Oryctolagus cuniculus: one gene and its partners. Each later gene encodes a partner of the first gene's protein in a complex. Links are inferred from orthologs where the notes say so. Each region holds a gene or a part of one and is shown in the gene's direction. Other genes may lie near its edges.

Region 1 (4,154 bases):
GAAATTAGGGGTCTAGGGCCACAGCCTCTCTAGAGACCAAGTTGCTGATCTCAGGACAGGCGTGTGCCATGAGTCTCCTCCCAGCCCTGACAAACAGCTCCCATGTTCTGGGCATGGGAGGCTGGGACGGGCACTCAGAACCATGCCGAGAGGAGAGCCAGGGGAGTGGGCTTCTCGGCCCCAAGCCCCCCTTCCACGAGCAGTCGCAGGCACGTGGTCTAAGGGGTTTATTGATGCCCAGCCGTCCCCGCCCCCCTCCAGGGCACTGGAGAAGCACACTCCCTGCCAGGGGAGCCGTGCCGCTTCCCTAGCCAGCCTCAGTTTTCTTCAGCTCTTCCACTTTGGCCACGTAGTTCCTCATGGCATCCATCTTGGACATGCCTTTATTCTTGTTCCACGCCTCCCACTTGGCCGTGGCTTTCACTTCCGACGTAGGAGGCTCGGGGATGTTGCAGTCGCCCTGGGTGGCCTGTTTATAGAGGCTGTACAGCTGCAGCTTCTCCTGATCGCTCATGGGGTTCTTCAGCTGCTTCACGGCCGCGCACGCCAACTCGAACTCTACCTGGCACATTGCCATGCCTGAGGCGCGGCCCCTCTGGCCTTCCTAGCCGGCGCAGGAGCTGCGGGGGGAAGAGTTAGAAACACGTGAGGCCAGTAACGAGGTCTTGGCTAGAAAGGAAAGGGAGACGGCACTGTGTCTGTTCAGGTGTATGGTTTTTTTGTTTGTTTGTTTGTTTTGTTTTTTGACAGGCAGAGTTAGGGAGAGACAGAGAGAAAGGTCTTCCTTCCGTTGGTTCACCCCAAATGGCCGCTATGGCCGGCGCTGCGCTGATCCGAAGGCAGGAGCCAGGTGCTTCTCCTGGTCTCCCATGGGGTGCAGGGCCCAAGCACTTGGGCCATCCTCCACTGCGCTCCCTGGCCACAGCAGAGAGCTGGCCTGGAAGAGGAACAACGGGGACTAGAACCTGGGGTACCGGCGCCGCAGGTGGAGGATTAGCCAAGTGAGCCGAGGCGCCGGCCTCAGGTGCATGTTTTTATCAGTATGGGTGAACTGTGTGCGGGACATACCCGCGCTCCTGTCCTGCGGGACGGTGACTACGAGGCCGGGGGCTCCTGCACAGCACCGACTGGGACCTAGGAAGCCAGGTGGGTGGCCCGGCGGAGCACGCGGCGGGAGAGGAAGACCCCCGGAACCTGCCTGCTGGCTGGAGGGAGGCCTCGGGCCGGGAGGGGGCGCTGTGGGCTTGGCGGCCAAGGCGCCGCGAGCTCTCTGGTGAGGAGCGCGCGTGCGCGCGCAGCGGCGGGAGTCGGCGGCGAACGGCGCGAGAGCGGCGGCAGAGGCCGTGGGCGGGGCCTGCCGCCCCCCGCGCCGCCCATTGTGCGGTGGCGCCTGCGCCGCGCTCCTGGCTTTCGAGGGGGAGGGGCGGCCTGGCGCCCCCCGCGCCACCTCCCGCTTCGCCGCCATGGACCTAGGTGGGTGCCCCGGTTACGCTGCCCCGGGCCGGCCCGCGACGCGCCGCCTCCCGCCGCGCACGCCCGGCGGGCTCGGGCTCGGGCTCCTGGGGCCCTCGTGGTCGGGAGGGGCTGAGGAGGATCCAGGGCGTCCTTAGAGCGGGAGGGCGGCGGCGAGGCCGGGCGCAGCGCTCCTGAGCCGGCCTCCTGCGCCCTCCGGTCCCGCGTCGTACGTGAGAAGCGGAGCGGCGGTAAAGCGAGGTGTCCCGGGAGCGACGGGCTTAGCGCACGTGCAGGGGGCCATGCCGGCCTCGCTAGCTGAGCGTCCGCGGAGTTGCTCAGCGAGTTGCTCACCCACTGGCGTTCCCTGCCGGATAACGTGGGTGTGACGACACCGCGCCGCCCTCGCCGAGTGGCCGGGAGTAAACTTTGGGATCGCCGGGTGCGGAGTGCCCCTGCCGCGGGGCCTGGGCGGAGGCGCGCGGCTGCGGAAGCCCTGCTTTCTTCTGATCTGGGATCCGCTGGCTCAGTGCCCAGATGCCCTGGCACTCAGTCCAGGTCTCCCACTCGGGTGCAGGCACCCAAGTGCTTGAGCCATCACCTGTTGCCTCCCCCGGTGTACATGGTCCGGAAGCCGGATAGGAAGCGGAGCCGGGATTCGAACCCGGGCACTTGGGTCTGGGACGTGGGTGTCCCACTTGGAATATGGTGCTCTTTGAACCTGCCTGCCTGTTGGTTGAGAATCCTGGCAAGGTCTGGAAAAAAGGGAGGGAGGACCTAATAGAAGTCAGTGGCTCCTGCCAAGTGTCCCCACCTGTGGGATATGCCCTTAAACTCGGGTTGAGCCCGGGAGGCAGCTTGAGAAACGCTGATAGTAGTATGGTGTGGAGCAGGGTTTGAGTCTGTCCCCCAGCCAGCTCCTCGTGGTGGTGGAATGACAGATTGGGAAGGGGCATCCCTGCAGCTGTGGCGAATTTTTTTTTTTTTTTTTTTAAGATTTATTTATTTGAGGCTGGCGCCGTGGCTCACTAGGCTAATCCTCTGCCTGTGGCGCCGGCACCCTGGGTTCTAGTCCCGGTTGGGGCGCCGGATTCTGTCCTGGTTGCCCCTCTTCCAGTCCAGCTCTTTGCAGTAGCCCGGGAAGGCAGTGGAGGATGGCCCAGGTCCTTGGGCCCTGCTCCCGCATGGGAGACCAGGAGAAGCACCTGGCTCCTGGCTTCAGATCGACGCAGCACGGCGGCCATAGCGGCCATTTTGGGGGTGAACCAACGGAAAAAGGAAGACCTTTTTCTCTCTCTCTCTCACTGTCTAACTCTGCCTGTCAAAAAAAAAAAAAATTATTTATTTGAAAGGCAGAGTTAGGGAGAAACAGAGAGAGATCGTCCATTCACTGATTCACTCCCCAAATGGCGGCAATGGCTGGGGCTGAGCTAGGCTGAAGCCGGAAGCTTCTTCCAGGTCTCCCACGTGAGTGCAGGGGCCAAAGGACTTGCCCATCTTCCGCTGCTTTCCCAGGTGCATGGTGGGGAGGGCCTCAAACCATTAAGTCACAGTGCCACTGCTTTGTGGTGGTGACACCCTGAGCAAAATACCTGAACATCAACCTCTAAAACAGGAATAGTCCTCAGAAGGTTATTTTGAAGATTAAAAGAGACCTTCCATGTGTACCAGCTAGCACGGTGCCTGGTGTGCGCGGGCACTTAGCAAACATCAGAAGTGGGCACCAGTTAACCATTAGTGATAAAACACTTGGGTTTTTCCCAGTTGCTAACTGTTCCTGGGGCTTGTTCAGGGAGCACTTGGACATTCCTGTGTCTGTTGGGGACCACGCATCTGCTCTGCTGAGCTGATAGTGCGATAAAATTACACTGAGAAGAGTCACAGGTTGGCCGGCGCCGCGGCTCACTAGGCTAATCCTCTGCCTGTGGCGCCGGCACCCCAGATTCTAGTCCAGTTGGGGCACCAGTTCTGTCCTGGTTGCTCCTCTTCCAGTCCAGCTCTCTGCTGTGGCCCAGGAGGGCAGCGGAGGATGGCCCAAGTGCTTGGGCCCTGCACCCGCATGGGAGACCAGGAGGAAGCACCTGGCTCCTGGCTTCGGATCGGCGCAGCGCGCCGAGAAGAGTCACAGGTGAGGAGCCAGCATTTTGGCGTAGCAGGCAGAGCCACTGCCTGCCACACCAGTTCATGTCCCAGCTGCTCCACTTTCAATCCAGCTCCGGACTGATGGCCTGGGAAGAGCAGTGGGAGGAGACCCAGATGAAGCTGCTGTCTTCAGCCTGGCCCGGTGCTGGCCAGAGTGTTCAGTAGGGAGCATACTTTGGGGCTGTGGGAGAGCTGTGGCTGGAGAGAAGAGCCATTGCCCCAGGCAGATCCTTGAGCTCCTCCGCTGAAGGAGGGGGTCTGCCTAGGCGCGGGGGGCCTTCCCAGCCAGGGCGCGGGGGAGTCTCCTCCCTGGGCCTTCCGCCGCCCTTGCAGGGCTGTGTGATTCAGTGTTCCCCATTCAGCATCTTCTCTGCTGGCGTCTGCCCTGTGAAATGGTGAAGAGGTGCTCTTGGGGCTTGGGGGACTGTGCAAGGGCTTGCATCTCTGGGTCCTGGGAAGGGGCGGAGTCAGTGCTGGACAGTGAGCAGTGTTTGCAGTCTGAATTTAGTTCCTGGGCCCGAAGTAACGGACCTGATAAAGACCCGTGTCCTTTCATGTTT
Region 2 (3,516 bases), on another chromosome or scaffold:
ATTTGTACTGTGAAGCCTAAGGGGTTTGACAGTTAAGAGAAGGGCAACTGTTCTATAGTGTTCTCTCAGAAGTAATTGCTTGTGTGTGGCATGTCTTTGTGATGTCTGTGAGCTATAAGATTTTATTTGGTATTGAGGAAGTTTGAGAGAAACATTCTTAAATGGATCATCTGTTAACATTTTATTTGTCTTTTCAGGATAGTAATTATTTGTTAACTGGTGGACAGGATAAACTGTTACGCATATATGATTTGAACAAACCTGAAGCAGGTAAGCATAATTAATGTATGAGTTTATAGTTTTATTTCATTTTAATGTAAATAACTTTGATTAAAAGAGTACTAAAATTTGGAAGCTAGTCATAAGAAAGAAAATTAAAACATAATCCATCATCTAGTATTCAACACTTTTAATACCTTTAGCTTTGGTTTCATATCATTCCAGATTTCCTATGCAGATAATCTTTTTCTTTTTTTTTTTTAATTATTAGTTTGAAATGTAGAGTGACAGAGGGAGAAAGAGACAGAGATTTCCATCTACTGGTTCACTCCCCAAATGATCACTGAAGCCAGGAGTCCATAGCTCCGTCTCAGTGTCCCACATGCAGGGACCCAAATACTTGACCCATCTTTTGCTTTTCCAGACACAGTAGCAGGGAGCTGATTCATAAGGGGAGCAGCCCAGTTCCTGTATGATATGCTGGTGTTGAGGCCATGGCTTAATGCCTGTACCACAATGTCAGGCCTTTTATTAAAATTTGTATTAGTTTAAGATTTGTTTATTTAATTTGAAAGGCAGAATTACAGAGACAGATGGAGATAAAGAGAACTTACTGGCTTTCGAAGGTTCTTTATTGCATCCTAATTTGCCATTTGGTTTTAAATTTCATTAAGAAGGCTTTGATATATACCTAGGCATATACATTTTTAACATTTTGGTGGCAGGAGCTGTCATTTCCTCTATGAACTGTCGTCGTACAGAATTTGTAGGCATTTCTTCTTACACAGTTGAGATAGTTACCTCCATTTTTGTAGTATTGTAATGATTTCCTAGCTGTAAATACAAGTATAGTTTAAAAGCTACCGAAACATGATAAACCAAATTTTGTTTCACTTATTATGTAGTAATTACTATCTATTAGATTTCCTAAGTACCTCAAAGCTACATTGAAAAGTAAGCAGTTATTTGCCTGAGGGAACTGCTTTCTAAAAGCATTTCTAGGGTGAGGCATTTGTAGATTTCTGTATTCATTGGCACCCAGGAGTGTTGCTCTGCTTTCTTTTTACTACCTCTATGCCAAAACAAAGCAGAGTTCTCCAGCCTCTTTTAATCAGTGAAACTATGTGCTGCAGCAAGGTAGTTCAGGGTTTGGGTGGGTGTTTTTCATCCTCGTTTACCTTTCCCGAGCTTCTGTTTGAGTTGCTCTTCCACCTAGAAATGGTAGCAATTAACTGAAGTTTTGCTGTGTGACACCCATGTAAAGTGCCTCTGAGGTGCCCTAACTTTGTAGCCCAGTTTACAGATGAAGAAATGCAGTTTCAAACAGGTAACGTGCCCAAAGTCGAAGTACTATTGAATGGCATTGCTTCCAGTAGCTGCCTTTGCCTAGAGATGATGATGATTTTTTGAAATGTTTTGAAGGGAAATTCTCCTACAGAGATGGGTTCCCTTTTTTTTTTATTATTTATTTTTTATTTTTTTACTGCTTTCCTCTCAATGTAGAAGCGTTTCTGGAAATTGCTGTGCTGGTTTTTATTTCCCATTTCTCCTATCCCCAGTGTCTTTTTTCTTCTTAATTTCTACCAACAATGTCTGGATGCAGGTGACAGGGTTAATGGCAGCACTAGGATTAGCTCTGGTTTTCTTATTCCTGGGCCCATGTTCTTCAAATGGCTGCTGCGGCCGGTGTGCTGCACTGATCGAAGCCAGGAGCCAGCTGCTTCTTCCTGGTCTCCTAATGTGGGTACAGGGCCCAAGCACTTGGGCCATCCTCCACTGCCCTCCTGGGCCACAGCAGAGAGCTGGACTGGAAGAGGAGCAAACAGGGCAGAATCCGGCGCCCTGACCGGGACTAGAACCCAGGGTGCTGGCGCCATAGGCGGAGGATTAGCCTATTGAGCCGCAGCGCCGGCCCCATGTTCTTCTTAAACTATGCCACATTAGTTATTCATACTAGTTATTACTTCATTGTGGTACAGTGTGCTATTTTTTAACATTACTAGTTGTACAGAAAATTAGCCAAGAAAGAGTTATTATTGATTTACTCAAATGCAATAAGGCAGGCATCATTGTTCTTGGATTCTTTGTTGTACAGATAAATTTTTGTTCTGTAAGGAACCAGTATAGAAAAACTAAATTATTCTTTTTTGGGCTGCACTTAGAAAAGGTGCAGTCTAACATAAAATGTGTTTCTTTTTCTTATTACCTATCTAATTTGCTTGGTTTAAAAAATTCAATATTAACAATATTTAAAATTTTTTCTTCTTAAGAACCTAAGGAAATCAGTGGTCACACATCTGGTATTAAAAAGGCTTTATGGTGCAGTGAGGATAAACAGATTCTTTCAGCTGATGATAAAACTGTTCGGTAGGTAATTTTTCTTTGATAATTTGAAGTTTGAAAAAAGTTTTTACTTTTAAGTATTATTTTTACTATTATGTAGGAAAAATGGTCTGAACTTTAAAATGCGCATAGGTCACATTTATGTGGAGCTATCCATTTACTATTGCATAGCCAGAGCAGAATTCAGAAGACCCTTAATTAAGACTATTGACACCTTTACTAGCAGGAGTTCTTAATCTACGTCTGTGGGACTAGTTAGCTAAAGGGTGCGGGGGGTGGTCCATGGAGCTACTGAAATTTTATGCAAAATATTGGGTACTGACATACACATGTTTTTTGGAAAGAGAGTTGCCATGAGTCACTACAACAGTATAAGAACCACTGTTTACAGCAGTGCTGAAATAGATGATATGAGGATTTACGTGTTTTAGTGACATAGTTTTGCTAAGTTGTTTGCTAGTACGGTCGATTTCCCCAACAAGCTTCCAATTTCCCATTGTGTAGGAACCCAAAATTGTCTGTGTCTGTTATTTAGGACTTGAAATGACTGTAGCTGGTCTCCCATGGGGTGCAGGGCCCAAGCACTTGGGCCATCCTCCACTGCACTCCCTGGCCACAGCAGAGAGCTGGCCTGGAAGAGGGGCAACCGGGACAGAATCCGGCTCCCTGACCGGGACTAGAACCTGGTGTGCCAGCGCCGCTAGGCGGAGGATTAGCCTATTGAGCCGCGGCACCGGCTGTATTGTGGTTTTAATCAGTGACTTGTATTTTGAAGTAGTTTCCGAATCACAAGAGTCACAAGTGTAACTTAAAAGAGTTCACCAACACTCATTTTAACCCCATGACAATTTTGTGCATAGTCATAGTCCATTGTAAGTTTTCTTAACATGAGTAAATTAAATGAGTAAATATTGCCACATTTTGATCTTTTCTTTTCGCAGCCTTTGGGATCAT
Region 3 (3,516 bases), on another chromosome or scaffold:
AGTCACCTTCTGAGATATTAGAAGTTAGGGCCTCATGGGCCAGCGCCGCGGCTCACTAGGCTAATCCTCCACCTAGCGGCGCCGGCACACCGGGTTCTAGTCCCGGTCGGGGCGCCGGATTCTGTCCCGGTTGCCCCTCTTCCAGGCCAGCTCTCTGCTGTGGCCAGGGAGTGCAGTGGAGGATGGCCCAAGTGCTTGGGCCCTGCACCCCATGGGAGACCAGGAAAAGCACCTGACTCCTGGCTCCTGCCATCGGATCAGCATGGTGCGCCGGCCACAGCGTGCCGGCCGCAGCGGCCATTGGAGGGTGAACCAACGGCAAAGGAAGACCTTTCTCTCTGTCTCTCTCTCTCACTGTCCACTCTGCCTGTCAAAAAAAAAAAAAAAAAAAAGAAGTTAGGGCCTCAATATATGAATTTTGGGGCACACATTTCTGCCCATAACTGACCCCATATATTTGTGTTGAGCTGGTAAGAATAGGGCGATTCTTTTTTTAACGTTCACTATAAAGAATAAGTACAGGAAAATTAATTCCTTTTTTTTTCCTCTTAGCCAAAGTCTGAAGATGAAGAAGGCTGGAAAAAATTTTGTCTGGGTGAAAGGTTATGTGCTGAAGGGGCTGTTGGACCACCTACAAATGAAAGCCCTGGAATTGATTATGTGCAAGTAGGTAATAATGCAGATAAACAAAGCATAGCATTTTAATTTTGGTGCCTTACTTAGTGTAAATACAACCTGGGCCAAATCAAGTCTGTAGCCTGTTTGTCTATACCCCATGAACTAAGAACGATTTTTGTGTTTTTAAAGCATTGTAAAAAAAGTAACATACAAAATGTGAGAAATAATATGTAGCCTGCAAAGCCTAAAATATTTACTGACTAGCTGTTTACATGAAATATTGCCAATCTTTCATTTATTTTATTGAGTATAATCTACAGAGTGGCAGACTAGTTCCTGAAACAATTCACTGTGGCATATTGTATGTCGACTTCATATCTCATGTCTCAGTGGTAGAAGAATTTTGAGTTAGATAGGAATTAATTTGTGGAAATGATTAGGCACAGGTCAAACACTGAGTTAAGAGTACTTAAGAAAACATTACATAATCAGAGAGATGGCTTTAAAATCTTCAGTAAGTTACCTATTCTGGAGAGGAAATGTTAAGAAAGTATTTATTAGGGGGCCAGTGTTGTGGTATAGCAAATAAAGCTACCACCTGCAACGCAGCATCCTGGTTCATGTTTGCTCACTTCCGATCCAGCTCCCTGCTAATGACCTGGGAAAATCACCAGAACATGGCCCTAGTGCTAGGCCCCTGTACCCAAGTGGGAGACCCAAAAGAAGCTTCTGGCTCCTGGGTTTGGCCAGGCCCAGCTCTGGCTATTGTCATCTTTTGGGGAGTGAACCAGCAGATGGAAGATAACTCTCTGTGTGTGTCTCTTCCTCTCTCTCTGTAATCATGCCTTTCAAATAAATAATTTTTTAAATATTTATTTTATTAATTTGAAAGACAGAGTTACAGATAGAGGCAGAGACAGAGAGAGAGAGAGGTCTTCCATCCGCTGGTTCACTCCCCAGATGGCCACAACAGCCGGAGCTGGGCTGATCTGAAGCCAGGAGCCAGGAGCTTCTTCTGGGTCTCCCACGTGGGTGCAGGGGCCCAAGAACTTGGGCCATCTTCTGCTGCTTTCCCAGGCCATAGCAGAGAGCTGGATTGGAAGAGGAGCAGCTGGGACTAGAACCAGCGCCCATATGGGATGTCAGTGCTTCAGGTCAGGGCTTTAACCCACTGCACCTCAGCACCAGCCCCTAAATAAATAAAGCTTAAAATAAATAAATAAATAAATAAATAGGCAGCTCCTGGCTCCTGGCTGTTGCAGCTTTCTGGGGAGTGAACCAATAGATAGACTATCTCTCTGTCTCTCCTCTCTCTGTAATTCTGCCTTTCAAATAATTTTTTTTTTAAAAGAATCCATTTAAGTTTGACATGGCTTCAGTCGTAAATTACGTGGCCCACTCCTTGTCCTTCAGGATTCACCTGATCTCAAGTAGGTAGATGTTTCTTTTTTTTGTTTAAGATTTTATTTATTTATTTATTTATTTGAGAAGTAGAGTTATAGACAGTGAGAGGGAAAAACAGAGAGAAAGGTCTTCCATCCATTGGTTATTAATTTGAAAGACAGAGTTACAGATAGAGGCAGAGAGAGAGAGAGGTCTTCCGTTCGTTGGTTCACTCCCCAAATGGCCGCAATGGCTGGAGCTGCGCCAATCCAAAGCCAGGAGCCAGGTGCTTCTTCCCAGTCTCCCATATGAGTGCAGGGGCCCAAGGACTTGGGCCATCTTCCACTGCTTTCCCAGGCCACAGCAGAGAGCTGGACTGGAAGAGGAGCAGCCAGGACTAGAACCAGTGCCCATATGGGATGCTGGTGCCGCAGGCAGAAGATTAACCTACTGCGCCATGGCACTGGCCCCAGTAGATGTTTCTATAAAACCCACTGCAGGGAGCCACTGTTGTAGTACATCTGGTTGCTGCTGCTGGGGAAGCTGGCATCCCATATCAGAGTGCCAATTCCAGCCCCTAATGCTCCTCTTTGGATCCACTTCCCTATTGGAGTGCCAGGGAAGAAAGAAAAGGATAACCCAAGTACTTAGGTCTTTGCCACCCACGTGGACGACCGAGATGGAGTTCCAGGCTCCTGGCTTCTACCTGGACCAACCCAGCCATTGTGGACATTTGAGGAGTGAACCAATGGATGGAAGATGTGACTCTGTTTTTCACCCTCTCTCTTTCACTCTGCCTTTCAAATACATAAATTTTTTAAAATATAAACAGCTCCAAAAATCATTTAAAAGGCCAAGAGTCACCTCACATACAGACATATCAAACAAAAACAAGAAGCAAAAGATCATACATCCCACAGAAAGGAAATACAATTTGTTTCTGTATGACTGGATGCCCAGCTTCCATTTTAATAGAAATATAACTTGGCTGGCGCTGTGGCGCAGGGGGATAAAGCCCTGCCATAAGGGTGTCAGTTCTAGTCCCAGCTGCTCTTCTTCCAATCCAGCTCTCTGCTGTGGCCTGGGAAAGTAGGAGAAAATGACGCAAGTCCTTGGGCCCCTGCACCCACATGGGAGACCCGGAAGAAGCTCCTGGGGACGGCGCCGTGGCTCAATAGGCTAATCCTCCGCCTTGTGGCGCCGGCACACCGGGTTCTAGTCCCGGTCGGGGCGCCAGATTCTGTCCTGGTTGCCCCTCTTCCAGGCTAGCTCTCTGCTATGGCCCGGGAGTGCAGTGGAGGATGGCCCATGTGCTTGGGCCCTGCACCCCATGGGAGACCAGGATAAGTACCTGGCTCCTGCCATCGGATCAGCGCGGTGCGCCGGCCACAGCGCGCCACCCACAGCGGCCATTGGAGTGTGAACCAACAGCAAAGGAAGACCTTTCTCTCTGTCTCTCTCACTGTCCAATCTGCCTGTCAAAAAAAAAAAAAAAAAAAGAAGAAGCTCCTGACT

Evidence for each region. The genes of interacting proteins can lie anywhere in the genome.
Region 2: GEMIN4 (region 1) and STRAP share a complex: the UniProt entries of both Homo sapiens proteins name them as parts of the SMN-Sm complex. The link is inferred for Oryctolagus cuniculus from reciprocal best matches to the Homo sapiens genes GEMIN4 and STRAP.
Region 3: GEMIN4 (region 1) and GEMIN2 share a complex: the UniProt entries of both Homo sapiens proteins name them as parts of the SMN-Sm complex. The link is inferred for Oryctolagus cuniculus from reciprocal best matches to the Homo sapiens genes GEMIN4 and GEMIN2.

The regions. Positions count from the first base shown.
Region 1 is NC_091448.1:46,442,218-46,446,371, forward strand, and holds the start of GEMIN4 (gem-associated protein 4), read left to right. Parts: upstream 1-1,340; 5' UTR 1,341-1,463; coding exon 1,464-1,473; intron 1,474-2,434; exon of another isoform or gene 2,435-3,580; intron 3,581-4,154. Other genes in the region: diazepam-binding inhibitor-like 5, read right to left, coding at 308-577. UniProt on the Homo sapiens protein: The SMN complex catalyzes the assembly of small nuclear ribonucleoproteins (snRNPs), the building blocks of the spliceosome, and thereby plays an important role in the splicing of cellular pre-mRNAs.
Region 2 is NC_091440.1:113,725,394-113,728,909, forward strand, and holds part of STRAP (serine-threonine kinase receptor-associated protein), read left to right. Parts: intron 1-197; coding exon 198-270; intron 271-2,489; coding exon 2,490-2,586; intron 2,587-3,503; coding exon 3,504-3,516. UniProt on the Homo sapiens protein: The SMN complex catalyzes the assembly of small nuclear ribonucleoproteins (snRNPs), the building blocks of the spliceosome, and thereby plays an important role in the splicing of cellular pre-mRNAs.
Region 3 is NC_091443.1:36,521,824-36,525,339, reverse strand, and holds part of GEMIN2 (gem-associated protein 2), read left to right. Parts: intron 1-552; coding exon 553-666; intron 667-3,516. UniProt on the Homo sapiens protein: The SMN complex catalyzes the assembly of small nuclear ribonucleoproteins (snRNPs), the building blocks of the spliceosome, and thereby plays an important role in the splicing of cellular pre-mRNAs.